3 linked regions of the Oryctolagus cuniculus genome follow. Each later gene encodes a partner of the first gene's protein in a complex. Links are inferred from orthologs where the notes say so. Each region holds a gene or a part of one and is shown on either strand. Other genes may lie near its edges.

Region 1 (3,645 bases):
GTGGCCTCTAAAACTAAGTAAATTGGTGAAGGCGAAGAAAAAGAGAATATGACTGAGGTATCACTTCACAAGTGATGCAGCAAGGAACAGAATCTTGGCTCACAGAGCCAAGGACTGTCCACAGCTTATGAAGAGGCAGGACACTTTTTCTGTAAAGGTCAGAGAATCTATATTATGGGCTTTACCAGCCATATGGTCTCTGTGGCAAGTATTCAATGCCCTATCATAGCATGGAAACAGCCACTGACAATACCTGAATGAATGAGTGTGGCTGTCTTTCAATCACATCTTACTCACAAAAGCAGGCAGCAGACCATATTTAAAGCACTGCTTCTGTCACACTGCAAACACTCAATAAATATCAAAAATATGACTGAGCAAGAGAACAAATTATGGTGCTAAAATCACTTCATGTGTTTGAAATCTTTATTGTTACTGATCACAGAGATGGTATCACACGAACACTTCATCACTTAGAATATCACTGAGCCTTAGCCTGTGTAGCCAATGCAGCTTCTTCACACTACTTGGCTTTCTTTACCAGGTTCCAACTTGATAAGGATTTGTGTCATTCCAATCATTATGCAACAAGCTTTCACTCTTTTGAGTTCTGCATCATTACTGGCAGTATTGCCTCCAACAGTTTATGATATTAAGTCCATAGCAGTATTCTCTTGTCAGACTGAAAAAGCTTGCTCGCTGGGACCTTGTGAACTTGCCCTACTAGGGGCTCAGAGCCACTGGAGGCCCTGCTGCCAGAGTAGCTGAAGGAACCTCAGAGTGGCAGAGCCCCTACAGGCCTCTGTGCAGCCTTCCCAGAGCACAGCAAGGAACACCCCCTGGAAGCGGTGCAGGAGGCTACTTGTGCCCTTGGTGCCACCCACAATCATATACACAGGGGCAGGCATTCTCAGCCCAGCTCAGCCTGCCCCATGGCACTGCCACAGGAGCCTAGAACAGGCTGTGACATTTTATAGGGTTAGTGGATTACCAGACTATTCATTTACTACTCCCAATTTCTCACTCCCACCAATGTCCAACTAGTTACCAAGTCTCCTAATGAGTGATCTAAAACACACAGAAATTTGGTATTTGGGCTATGTGAATCTGGCTTCCTCACACATATTCCAATCTTCACTTAATGTAACTTCCTGGACTGCATTGCCTGTGAAGTTAAAAACTGCATTTCCTTTGGAGGCAGGAGTTGTGGTACAGCAGGTTAAGCCAACACCTATGATGCCAGCATCCCATATGGACACCGATTTGCATCCCAGTTGCTCCACTTTTAATCCAGCTGCCTGTTAATGTACCTGGGAAAGCTGCAGAAGATGACCCAAGTGCTTGGGACTCTGTACCCACATGGGAGACCGGATAAAGGTACTGGCTCCTGGCTTCAGTGTGGCTGGGTCAAGCAGTTGCAGCTATTTGGGGAGTGAACCTATGGATGAAAAATCTGTCTCTCCTCCATTCTCTATAACTCTTTCAATAAATAAATAAATAAATCTTTAAAAACAAATAGAAAAACTACAGTTCCCAGACTCCCTTGAGCTAATTTCCACATACGAACCATCAAACACAACCAGTCAAACACAATCTCCCAAGTTGTGCATAAGGAATGAATTCAAGTGGGAGACAGAGTACAAGACAAGGTTGTGAAGCCAACAGCTAGATCACTAGCATCCTGACTCAAAGGTAGCTTCTTCATTATAGAAGGAATACCAGCTCTTTTGGTGGTCTAATAAGCTCTGGAAATTCAACCTGGACTGTATCTTTAGCCTTCCCAATTATTATGTGAGTCATATAACATACTGTCACACATTTTTCTCTGCTGAAATTAGGAAAAGCCTTTTTTTTTTCCCTACAAATGAACCCTGAGCAATTAACTTGCCTAAGGACACACAACTATTAAGTAGTTGAGCTGACACTTGAACCCACATCAATCTACTTTGAAAGCCCCATTCACTCAATCCTAAACTGCACCACTGCAGCTTTGCAAGGAGACCTTTCTCCCTCATCTCCTGGCTCTTCAGAATTTCCCCCCATTACCTGCACTACCAAACTCACAAGCTCAGTCATCATTTCGTACTGGGTCTTCTTCTCTGCGAGGCATCCCTGACCACTACCACGTTGACGAATCACAGTCACATGTTTCTGCACAGCACTAAACTTCTCTCCACTATAGCATTTAGTCCATCAATGATTTCTCACTAGGTCCTGTAACACACACTGAGTACCTTGAGAACAAAGGCCATTTTGTATTTCCCTCTATCCTTGGCATCTGGTCTATTAGAATAAATACAAGGTTAATGTTGCAAAGTGAAAGAATGAGTAACTGACATGACCTAACATAATGGGGTCAGTAATGTAAAGGATGGTGCAGCAGAACTGCTTCACAACACATTAAGATGCAGCAATGGACAGAGACGCATGAGTAAAGTAGAAAGCACTACTCTGCACCGCCACACTGTCTATGTCCATCTTGCGTCCATGGGCTCTCTAAGGGCAACACCCTATCTGGCGATCTGCTTCCAGCATATAGCTTGTTTCTCAGTATGGAATAAAGTTATCCAGTCAGTGAATGCGGCTGATAGGAGACTTCTCAACCAAGCAACAAATAGTAACATATTTTTCTATTGTTGTAAAAACAAACAGTACTGCTTTTACTAAAGGCAAATGGGTTTCAATTCTTTTCATAGCATTCAGATCATTCTAATAAAGTCAGGCAGAACCTGTTGATTATTCTTCAGTATTTTTTTCTCCCCTTCGTCCTGAGTAAGAGTCATCAAATATTAACCAGGCATCAGTTACCCAAAATAAAGACTACATCTCACTTAAGTTCTAACCTATGGGATGCAAATAAAATTAGAGTGTGCAATGTTTGGAGTGTACCTAACAAGGGGTGGGAATGGAAATGATCCCTTTTCTTGTTCTTTCCTTTGTCCCACAGGCAGGAAAATAGAGATTAGACCTTGGAAATTTAGGCAGAAGCCAAGTAGTGCAGAAGATGGAGACACAAGAACAAGCCTACATTTACAATGGTCATCTCAGCATTTTTCCTGTCTATGAAAGAGAATTAAACTTTCCTCCTAATAAGCCACTGTTACATTGCATTTCTGTCATCGATCCTAACTCATAGACAAGAAATAAAATTTTAAAAGTTTCTTTTGTACTGATCAAAGAGTTTTTTTTAAAAAAATATATTGAAACCACACTAAGACCCAAATGGCAATAGTTCCTAAAACCATGTGGGAAAACAGGCCAAAAGTCAGAAAATCAAGCCTAACAACCAACACCAGCATTCAAAACCATTCAAACAGAGCAGGACGGCAATGCAAACTCAGAAAGAGAAAAGTGACGGTTGCCATACCTGATGGTGAACTCTAGCAGCTCCTGGGCACCCTGAGGGTCCAGGTGCTGAAGACTGTACACTCTTTCCAGGCTCTCCTGCAGGAACTGCTGGGAAGGGTCCTCATGAGGAGTGATGCTGGGAGAGATGGCTGATGACAACACTTTTCTACCTGGTAACTAAACAAACACAGCGGGATTATAAAGCTATCAAGTTTCATGGCTCAACATTTGGTAACACAAAGAAACCACACAAAATGAAAGCCAAACAAAGCAAAGGGGAAAAGCCTAGGAGATATT
Region 2 (3,745 bases), on another chromosome or scaffold:
TAAAACCATGCACAGTAAGTCGGAGCTTCACCTTTGTACTATGTGCATACTGTATTTTACTCTGAAATGTTCCACACTTGCACTTCACCTTAGATAGTTTGGGACTGGGCTGTTTTCTTTTTCCCCACAAGAAAAATCAACTATTTTTCCACTTTTAATATTCAACCTACCTGCCCATAGTTGTCTATGCCAGTTACTAATCTATTTAAATTTAATAAATCAAAAGCTGTCCTTAGGGATTGGCCAAGAGTCGTAAGTCCTTCAGCCTGAAGGTTTTTCAGTTCATTCATAAACGTTGCATGGTTTTCTTTCCATCCGGCCTGAAAAGAAAAACGTGAGAATTTTTTTTTCTTCCTGTAACGCTAAATGCACACGGCCAGCCGTTACAATCTGACGTGCACCATGTAGCTGCTTCACTTTGGGTTGACATGGTTGGGTTAACGTGTTAATACTGTTATCGCTGCTGAGGAAACTCTCTGCCAAAGGTAGCCGGCAAGCAACCGGCCTGCTCTACAGCTTTTGGTAGCCAGCAGCCTGCACACTTTCTAACTTCACACTGGGAAATCTACTACCTAATCTAACACTCAAAATGTGGGGATGCAAACGTCCTAGGGGCAGGCGGCCGGGAGCGGCACTTGGGAAGTTAACCTCCAGCAGCCCTCCCAGGGCGAATCCGAGCAGCCCCAGCCTCGCAGCCCCCTTCGGCGCGCCTGATTCCCCTTTAATGCAAACCGGGGCTCGGCGCGGCCGGGCCCGGCTGTCACTCGGGCTAACTTGAATAAATATCCCCCACAGTTCATTGCTGCCGCTCACGCCGCGGAGGGGAAATGTCGGCCATGTTGATCGCAGCGCCGCCGCCGCCGCCGCTGCCGCCGCGGGGCCGGGCCGGGCCGGGGAGGGGACGGCGGTGGCCCGGCGAGTCCGCGCCGCGCCGGGACGCTCCCGAGCGGGGGAGGGGGGTGGGAGCCCGCAGGGGAAGGGCCCTCCGCCCCGGGAGCGCAGCGGGTGGGGGAGGGGAGCATAATGAAGGGTGAATGGGGGGGCGGGGAGGGCGAGCGAGGAAGGAACAGGGAAGGGAAGGAAGGGAAGGGGGAGGGCGAGGGCTGTTACCTTGATAGCATAGGGCGGCTCTTCGAAAGTGACCAGCATATACCTGTCTCCTCTGCTGGCAGGGTCCCGGGCACGGAGCTGCGGGCCGGGAGGAGGAACGGGGCGGGCGAGAGGGAAGCAGAGAGGCGAGGTTACGAGGCGAAGAAGGGGCGCCCAGCGTCCCCCGCCGCCCCCCACAGTATCCGCACACGCAGCGGCCACCCCTCCACGCCGCCCCACACACACCGATCGCTCCCTACACACCAGCCCCGGGGCCGGAGCCCGGGCCCGGGCCGAGCCCGGCTCGCAGCGCCCGCCCGCCCGCCCGCCCGCGCGGTGGGGGAGGGGGTCCCGGAGCCCGGCAGCTCCCGCAGTCAGGTCCCCGACACCCCCGCCCCGCCGCCCCCAGCCGCCCTCCCCCACCCTGCCGCCCGCGGGCCGCCGGGCCGGGGTCGCCGCCCCGGGCTCGGTCAGTCGGTACCTTCATGAAGGTCTCTACCGCGCCTTTGGCCGTGTCCAGGTAGGTGGTGCCCAGATGGCTGCGCTGGTTCATAGAGGCAGACGTGTCTATCAGGAACAGTAAGATGGGCATAGTGCTGGCCGGGGACACCGGGGCCCGAGGTGGTGGAGAAAGAGGAGATGGTAGAGGTGGAGGCGCCGGTGGCGGCGGCAGTCGCCGCCGCTACGCGGGGCGGGGGAGCGCGGCCCCCGGGAGGAAAACACCGTCTGGGTCTTTCCTCCGGCTGCGGGGAGTTTCTCCCCCGATAGTTGAGAGGAAACTCCCCAGACCCAGTCCTCCCCGTCGTACCCCCGCCTCCGCCTCCTCCTGCCTGCCTGCCCGCTGGGGCGGGCGCCCGGCCGTCTGTCTGTCGGTCCGTCCCCCCCGCCTCGGGGGTCCCGTCCCCGCTCCCGGCCCCTGTGTGTGTCCCAGCGGGAGACGGGCCTGGCTCCCCCACCCCACCCCCGGTGCAGGGAGTGGGGACCTGGGAGCTGGCGAAGAGGGGAGTGGGCTGAGGGGAGATTGGCCCTGGGGCTGTTGGGAGAAGTTTCAGGGACTCCCTCCGCACCCCGGCGGTGTCACCACTTTCTCAGCCCCTCTCGCTACTGAAGCGCTTTTCTCTCTCACACTCCGGTTTTAACTCGGGTAGGGGCTGCGGGGGCTCCGCCCCCTGACACGTCCCCGGGCCACGTGACGCACCGCCCCGCAGCTCCATTGGCTAATCCCGAGGCTCTTATTAGCATATTCAAACAGGTCAGGGGCGGGGGCTGCTTGTAGGCCGGCTCTGAGGGTTGTTATCGAGCATGCGCGGAGGCGGGGCGTCGGGTGCGCGCGAGAGCGAGCGCGAGGGACGAGCAGGCGGGCCGTCGCGGAGGCGGGCTCTGGGAAGGGGCGGGGACTGGCTTCGGAAGGACCGCGAGGTGGGGGGCGGGGGCTGCGTCGGCGCGCGCAGGGCGGCCGCCACTGTGAGCCTGCGCGTCAGGGCCACTGGCCTCTCCTTGGCTGTTGGAGGTGACAGGGGTCGGAGGAAGGCAAATGGAGATTGTCCTCAGCTCGCCCTCCGAGGTCGCTGGTAACGTGGACGACCGAGGAGGGCTGAGTAAAGTGAACACACACTCGGTTAAGGGCAGGGGGCAGGCCCGCGGCCGCCCTCGCGAGGAAGGCTCGGGACCCGCGGTGGCGGGAGGAGGTTCCCGGGCCTGGGAGGGCCGGCCCAGCGCGGGCGGGCCCGGGGCGGGGGAGGGGAAGTGAGAGGTTGTTTATGACCGGGGACTAATCGCGGCGAGTCACACCGCTCCCGCTGGGGAGTGGGCCCGAGGGCCTCGCCTCGCCCGGATCCTCGGGCGCTGCGGGGGCGACGGCCGAAGGCTGAGGGCGGCGCTCGGCAGACCCGGAGCCTTGCCGTCGGAAGGGGCACCCAGAAAGCCGCCGAACCCGGGAACGGCCTAGGGAGAGACTGGAGCTTATGGATAAGTGCTTTGCTACCCTTTTTATCCTGAGCAAACGTAACTGCTCCTTCCCAGAGAAAAAGACTTTTTCCAAGCTGTTTACTCAGGGTCATAGGATATCAGTTTCAGAGTTGAAAGGGACTTTAGCAAATCATCCATTGCCCTCATTTTAAAGTGAAAAACCTGACATGAACTTGCCCAGATAACACAGTGACGGGGGTTCCCAGAACCCTCCCTTACAAGCAGCCCCTCCAACTCCAAAACCCGTGTGTGTGTGTGAGAAGCAGTCTCGGTCAAGCCCCTGCCTTACCTGAAGTCATGAATCTGCTCCGAGAAAAACAGCTTCCTCGAACTCGCTGAAAAAAATGAAGACTGCCTTAGATACAATTAAGAGACTTAATTAAGCGGCCTTTGTAGGGATAGCTAATTTGTAGGACGCCTCCCGTTAGCCTGTCCTTTCCAGATTTTATTCTTTAATCTTGAAATTTTATGTGCCTACTGATCATTTAAAGAAATTGTTCCTATTAACACAGAAGACATGTTGTGGCATTTTTTTTTAAAATCTTGAGTTTCAAAACTTCCCGATATTTATGACAACCTTGGAGATTTTTTGTTAATTTATAGTCAGGCTATTTCAGTGAAAAGTGTTTTGTAAGTGTGGACCATAGAAGAGGTATGGATACTTGTAAGAGTATTTGGACTAAAAATT
Region 3 (3,745 bases), on another chromosome or scaffold:
ATGTTTTCACATTTTAAAATAAATTATGAAGGAGGATTTAATGGACAAATCAAGTTACATGTTAAGTGAATCCTGGTTCTCTGGCACCTTCAAAAATGAACTGTTATGGAGAAAACTTTTTGGTACTTCTCTGCCTTCTCAAACAGAGCCTATCAAATACACTCTATCCTTTACTGAGGACACAGGGTCTGCATTCCAACTGTTAAGGTGACAAGCTCTTTTGCCCTATAGACAAAACTCTTTTCATGGAATGCTTTGGCCTACTTTTCCTTCTCATCAGTTCAAGTGCCACCTTTCCGGGACGGGTAGTGTTGCACAGCAGGTTAAGCTGCCACTTGTAATGCCTGCATCCCACACTAGAGTGCCAACTTGATTCCTGCTTCTGATCCAGTTTCTTGCTAATATGGCTGGGAAGGCATAGGAAGATGGCCAAGCACTTGGGCCCCTGATACCTATGTAGGAAACCAGCATAGAGTTTATGTCTCCTGGCTTTGGCCTAGCCTGGATCTGGCTGCTGTACCAACCTGCACAGTGAACTGGTTGATGGAAGATCGATTTCTCTGTTGTCCCACCTTTTTTTTTTTTTTTTTTTTTTTTTTGACAGGCAGAGTTAGACAGTAAGAGAAAGAGAGACAGAGAGAAAGGTCTTCCTTTTTCCGTTGGTTCACCCCAAGAGGCCGGCACACTGCGCCAATCCGAAGCCAGGAGCCAGGTGGTTACTCCTCATCTTTCAAATATACATCTTTTTAAAAATTGATACCTCAAAAAAAGTCACCTTTCTGAAAATTGTCCTTACCTCCCACCCCCAATCACCAGTCAACTTAGTTCCCAAAACACAGAACATCCTTTATTTTAGCGTGAACACAGTGAATTACAGATAATTTTGGCTTACTTTTCTATCTTCTTTAGGCCACATGCCTTTTTAGGGCAAGGGCTGTGATTTTCAATTCTGTACCCCTAAATGCCTAGCACACTAACCACGAGGCAAACTGATACGCTCAAAGTTTACTGACCTGCATTGTGACCCTTTCAGGCATGCTTCAGGGGTGGGGAAGGTCAGGCCCAACCGGCGCAAGTCATTTGGTCTGGCCCTGCCAAATCATCCGCAGGCGGGACTTAAAATTCAATGTATCTATAGCAGGCTCATTTTCAAGTTGATACTTTTGTGTGGCCCAAGAATGATGTTCTAAACATCCAAATGGCCCTTGGCAGAAAAAAGGTTCCCCACCCCTGAAAGGGAGACAGTTTGGGAGCTGAAGCTACTTTTAATACTTTCCTCACAGAAAACAGCTGGTGGGTTATCAGATGAGAGTGTGTGGGCTGTGTGGCTCAGGAAAGCCTATTCAAATAATTACAGAAATGGGAAAAAGAAAGTTTGCTTTTATATAACAATTACAGAAAGAAAAACTGGACAATCATTTGGCTGCAGGAACACAGATTTTTAAAGTGTTGAGAAACAGCATTTCACACCTGTTTTTCTTCTCTCCTAATTACACTATTACTAATCTGAAACAGCTGGAATAAGCTGACTTTTTGGATCTGTGCACACAATGACAATAAAATGGCTCAAAACAAAGGTCTGAGAAGCTTTCCTGTGAGCCAGCATTGAAGCTTTGCAATGCAAAGATTTCTCCAGGTAGAATGGCAGCTGCATCAAGCTTTGGTCTTGCAGTCCCTACAATCTCAGAGTGGAATGCCTTGACACTTCCTCTCTGCCATCCAGATCCTAGGCAGTGTTTGACTCAAATCTTCCTACATCATGCTCTGACCTCGTTCTTCTTTGGATTCGAAGGGCTGTTAGTAGTTGGTAACAGGAAACGTAATGAGTGATTACGTTCTGCCCAACATTTTCTACTCTGTTCGAATCTGATCAGCCTTCCAACGACGGTAGGGAGACGGGCTAATCAAGAGCCAACTGAATGGAAAGAGGTTGTTAATCCATCCTAACATTGGGAAGCTGAGAAGCAAGCCCAAACCTAGCTCATAGGGCCCAATCTTAGCTCACAGGTGAATATTACGGTCAACCTCTTGCCTCCCAAAGTGAATAAAACCTCCTGGCAGCTTTATGTTGGGGGTTAGGGGGGCCAGCGGTCAGGAGAGGCAATTCAAACCTTCTCCACAACAAAAGCAGCTCTCCTCCACCCACCCCCCTTTCCACGGAGAACCGTGACTGTTCCTTGCCCATATCCAAAATGGCACGGCATCACTTTTGCCCTCCGACCTAGGAGCGAAGACTCACCAGTTTCATAATGGACTTTAGGTTTTTCAGTATCTGTCTCAGGACTCCTCAACTCCAGCATGTGTCTTCCGGTTCAAGCTCCTTCTCTGGCCCGCCGAGAGCATCGCGGGACTTGCAGTCTTTCTTCCTCACGCCCCCTTCCCGGACCATCATGGGAAATGTAGTCTTCCTTCTGGGCATCATGGGAACTGTGGTCGTCTTTCCTTTTCCTCCCTTTACTAGCCGAACGCCTCCTTCCGTCGGCTCAAATTCATCCCCGCCGCCAATTCATCCTCCCTCTCCACCCCAGCATGATATCATGTCCCCTGTATGGGCCTGGGACCCATGGTATTCTGGGATATGTAGTCCCGACGGCCTCGTCCCCGCTTTCCCCGCCTCCCTGTGGGAAGGCGGATGGGCGCGAGACTTGCCGGGAGCTGTAGTTCCCTGGGGCCTCCAGACGCCGAACTCGGTGCTTTTACTCAGGGGAGGCAAGAACTACAACTCCCAGGGATGCCTGGCTGCAGCAGGTGGGAGCGGGGCTGTTGATATCAATATGGCGGTTGTCAGCCAGACAAAGACAGTCAGTCTGATGTGATTGAGACAAGGGAGGTTTTGAGGGGGAGACTGGGAGATAGGGGCCTCCCCTCCCCCTTCTCCTCTTCCTGCGCCGGCCTCAACCCCTCCCCAGTCCCCTCCCGACGGGCGCCCCACGCGGAAGACACCCCTCCCCCTCCCGCTTTCCCTCCTCCCTACCTCAGCCCTTCGTACTGGGACGTTGGGGAGGGGGCTGTGCCGGGCGGAGAGAACTCAGCAAGGATTCTGAGGTGAGTCGAGTGGATTTGAAGCCGGACTACCTCAAGTCTGTTTCTTTACTTCTTTCTCTTCACTTAAGAAAATTTGGTGTGGGGGGGAGGGGTCTGGGGAGAAAGTGAGCGGACGCTGGGGATGGGTCTCCTAAGCGGCCGGATTGAGAGGAGGGAGGAAGCAGGGGGCTTCCGAGTGAGTGACCGGGACACGGGGTGTGGGGTGGGGCAGTTTGCGAGGGACAGGAATTGAAAGGCGTCGACTGCTCCCCAACTCTTTTCTCCTGGTTTCTTCCTCTACTATGGGCGGAAGGTTGGAGGTGGGGGTCTCCTGCTTGGAGTTTGGGAAACTACGAGGTGATTTTGAGGTGTGTCGGTGTGTAGAACTGTGTTTTAAACTGTGTGACGTGTACTTCAGTGCTGCGCTCGTCTTGAAGAAATGTCTATAGATAGGAAGTTAGATCGCTAGAGTCATAGCTAGTCCTGGGCCTGGGCTGAGAAGCGTGCGTTGAGGTCCTGGTGCTGGACGTTTGGGCTGGCGACGTGGTGCGGGGTTGCTGGACTCAGCAAGTCGTTTATGTCCCATTGCCCGCTCACATTCCGCCACCCGCCTCCCGTCCCCTCCCCTGGTATAAATCTCCACCCCAAACTCCGGGAAGGAGAATTGTGGAGATGATGTGGTGTGGAGATGATCTTTGCATCCTGAAGTCGGGAGATAGGT

What was found.
Region 2: INTS4 (region 1) and INTS6 share a complex: the UniProt entries of both Homo sapiens proteins name them as parts of the integrator complex. The link is inferred for Oryctolagus cuniculus from reciprocal best matches to the Homo sapiens genes INTS4 and INTS6.
Region 3: the proteins of INTS4 (region 1) and INTS9 are in contact, whole or in part, in a cryo-EM structure (PDB 8RC4), measured with the Homo sapiens proteins. The link is inferred for Oryctolagus cuniculus from reciprocal best matches to the Homo sapiens genes INTS4 and INTS9. Residues at the interface, in NP_291025.3 of Homo sapiens: Leu53, Gln54, Leu57, Gln58, Arg61, Lys62, Pro86, Ser87, Leu90, Lys91, Ser94, Gln125, Gln129, Asp132, His164, Gln207, Asp208, Pro209, Arg210, Arg212, Asp244, Tyr245, Glu246, Gln247, Trp296, Phe837, Gly840, Leu841, Val842, Val843; in NP_060720.2 of Homo sapiens: Lys2, Tyr4, Lys18, Ser21, Thr22, Leu43, Val44, Gln45, Glu87, Glu89, Leu90, Asp92, Asp97, Thr122, Glu145, Arg146, Val147, Pro148, Lys159, Glu174, Ser176, Thr177, Ser192, Gln195, Phe206, Gly207, Ile379, His380, Ser384, Asn385.

Annotation. Positions count from the first base shown.
Region 1 is NC_091432.1:69,001,882-69,005,526, forward strand, and holds part of INTS4 (integrator complex subunit 4), read right to left. Parts: intron 3,526-3,645; coding exon 3,368-3,525; intron 3,163-3,367; exon of another isoform or gene 2,948-3,162; intron 1-2,947. UniProt on the Homo sapiens protein: Component of the integrator complex, a multiprotein complex that terminates RNA polymerase II (Pol II) transcription in the promoter-proximal region of genes.
Region 2 is NC_091440.1:70,841,658-70,845,402, forward strand, and holds the start of INTS6 (integrator complex subunit 6), read right to left. Parts: upstream 2,229-3,745; 5' UTR 1,682-2,228; coding exon 1,571-1,681; intron 1,426-1,570; exon of another isoform or gene 1,336-1,425; intron 1,189-1,335; coding exon 1,111-1,188; intron 321-1,110; coding exon 171-320; intron 1-170. UniProt on the Homo sapiens protein: Component of the integrator complex, a multiprotein complex that terminates RNA polymerase II (Pol II) transcription in the promoter-proximal region of genes.
Region 3 is NC_091433.1:45,204,980-45,208,724, reverse strand, and holds the start of INTS9 (integrator complex subunit 9), read right to left. Parts: upstream 2,415-3,745; 5' UTR 2,249-2,414; coding exon 2,240-2,248; intron 1-2,239. UniProt on the Homo sapiens protein: Component of the integrator complex, a multiprotein complex that terminates RNA polymerase II (Pol II) transcription in the promoter-proximal region of genes.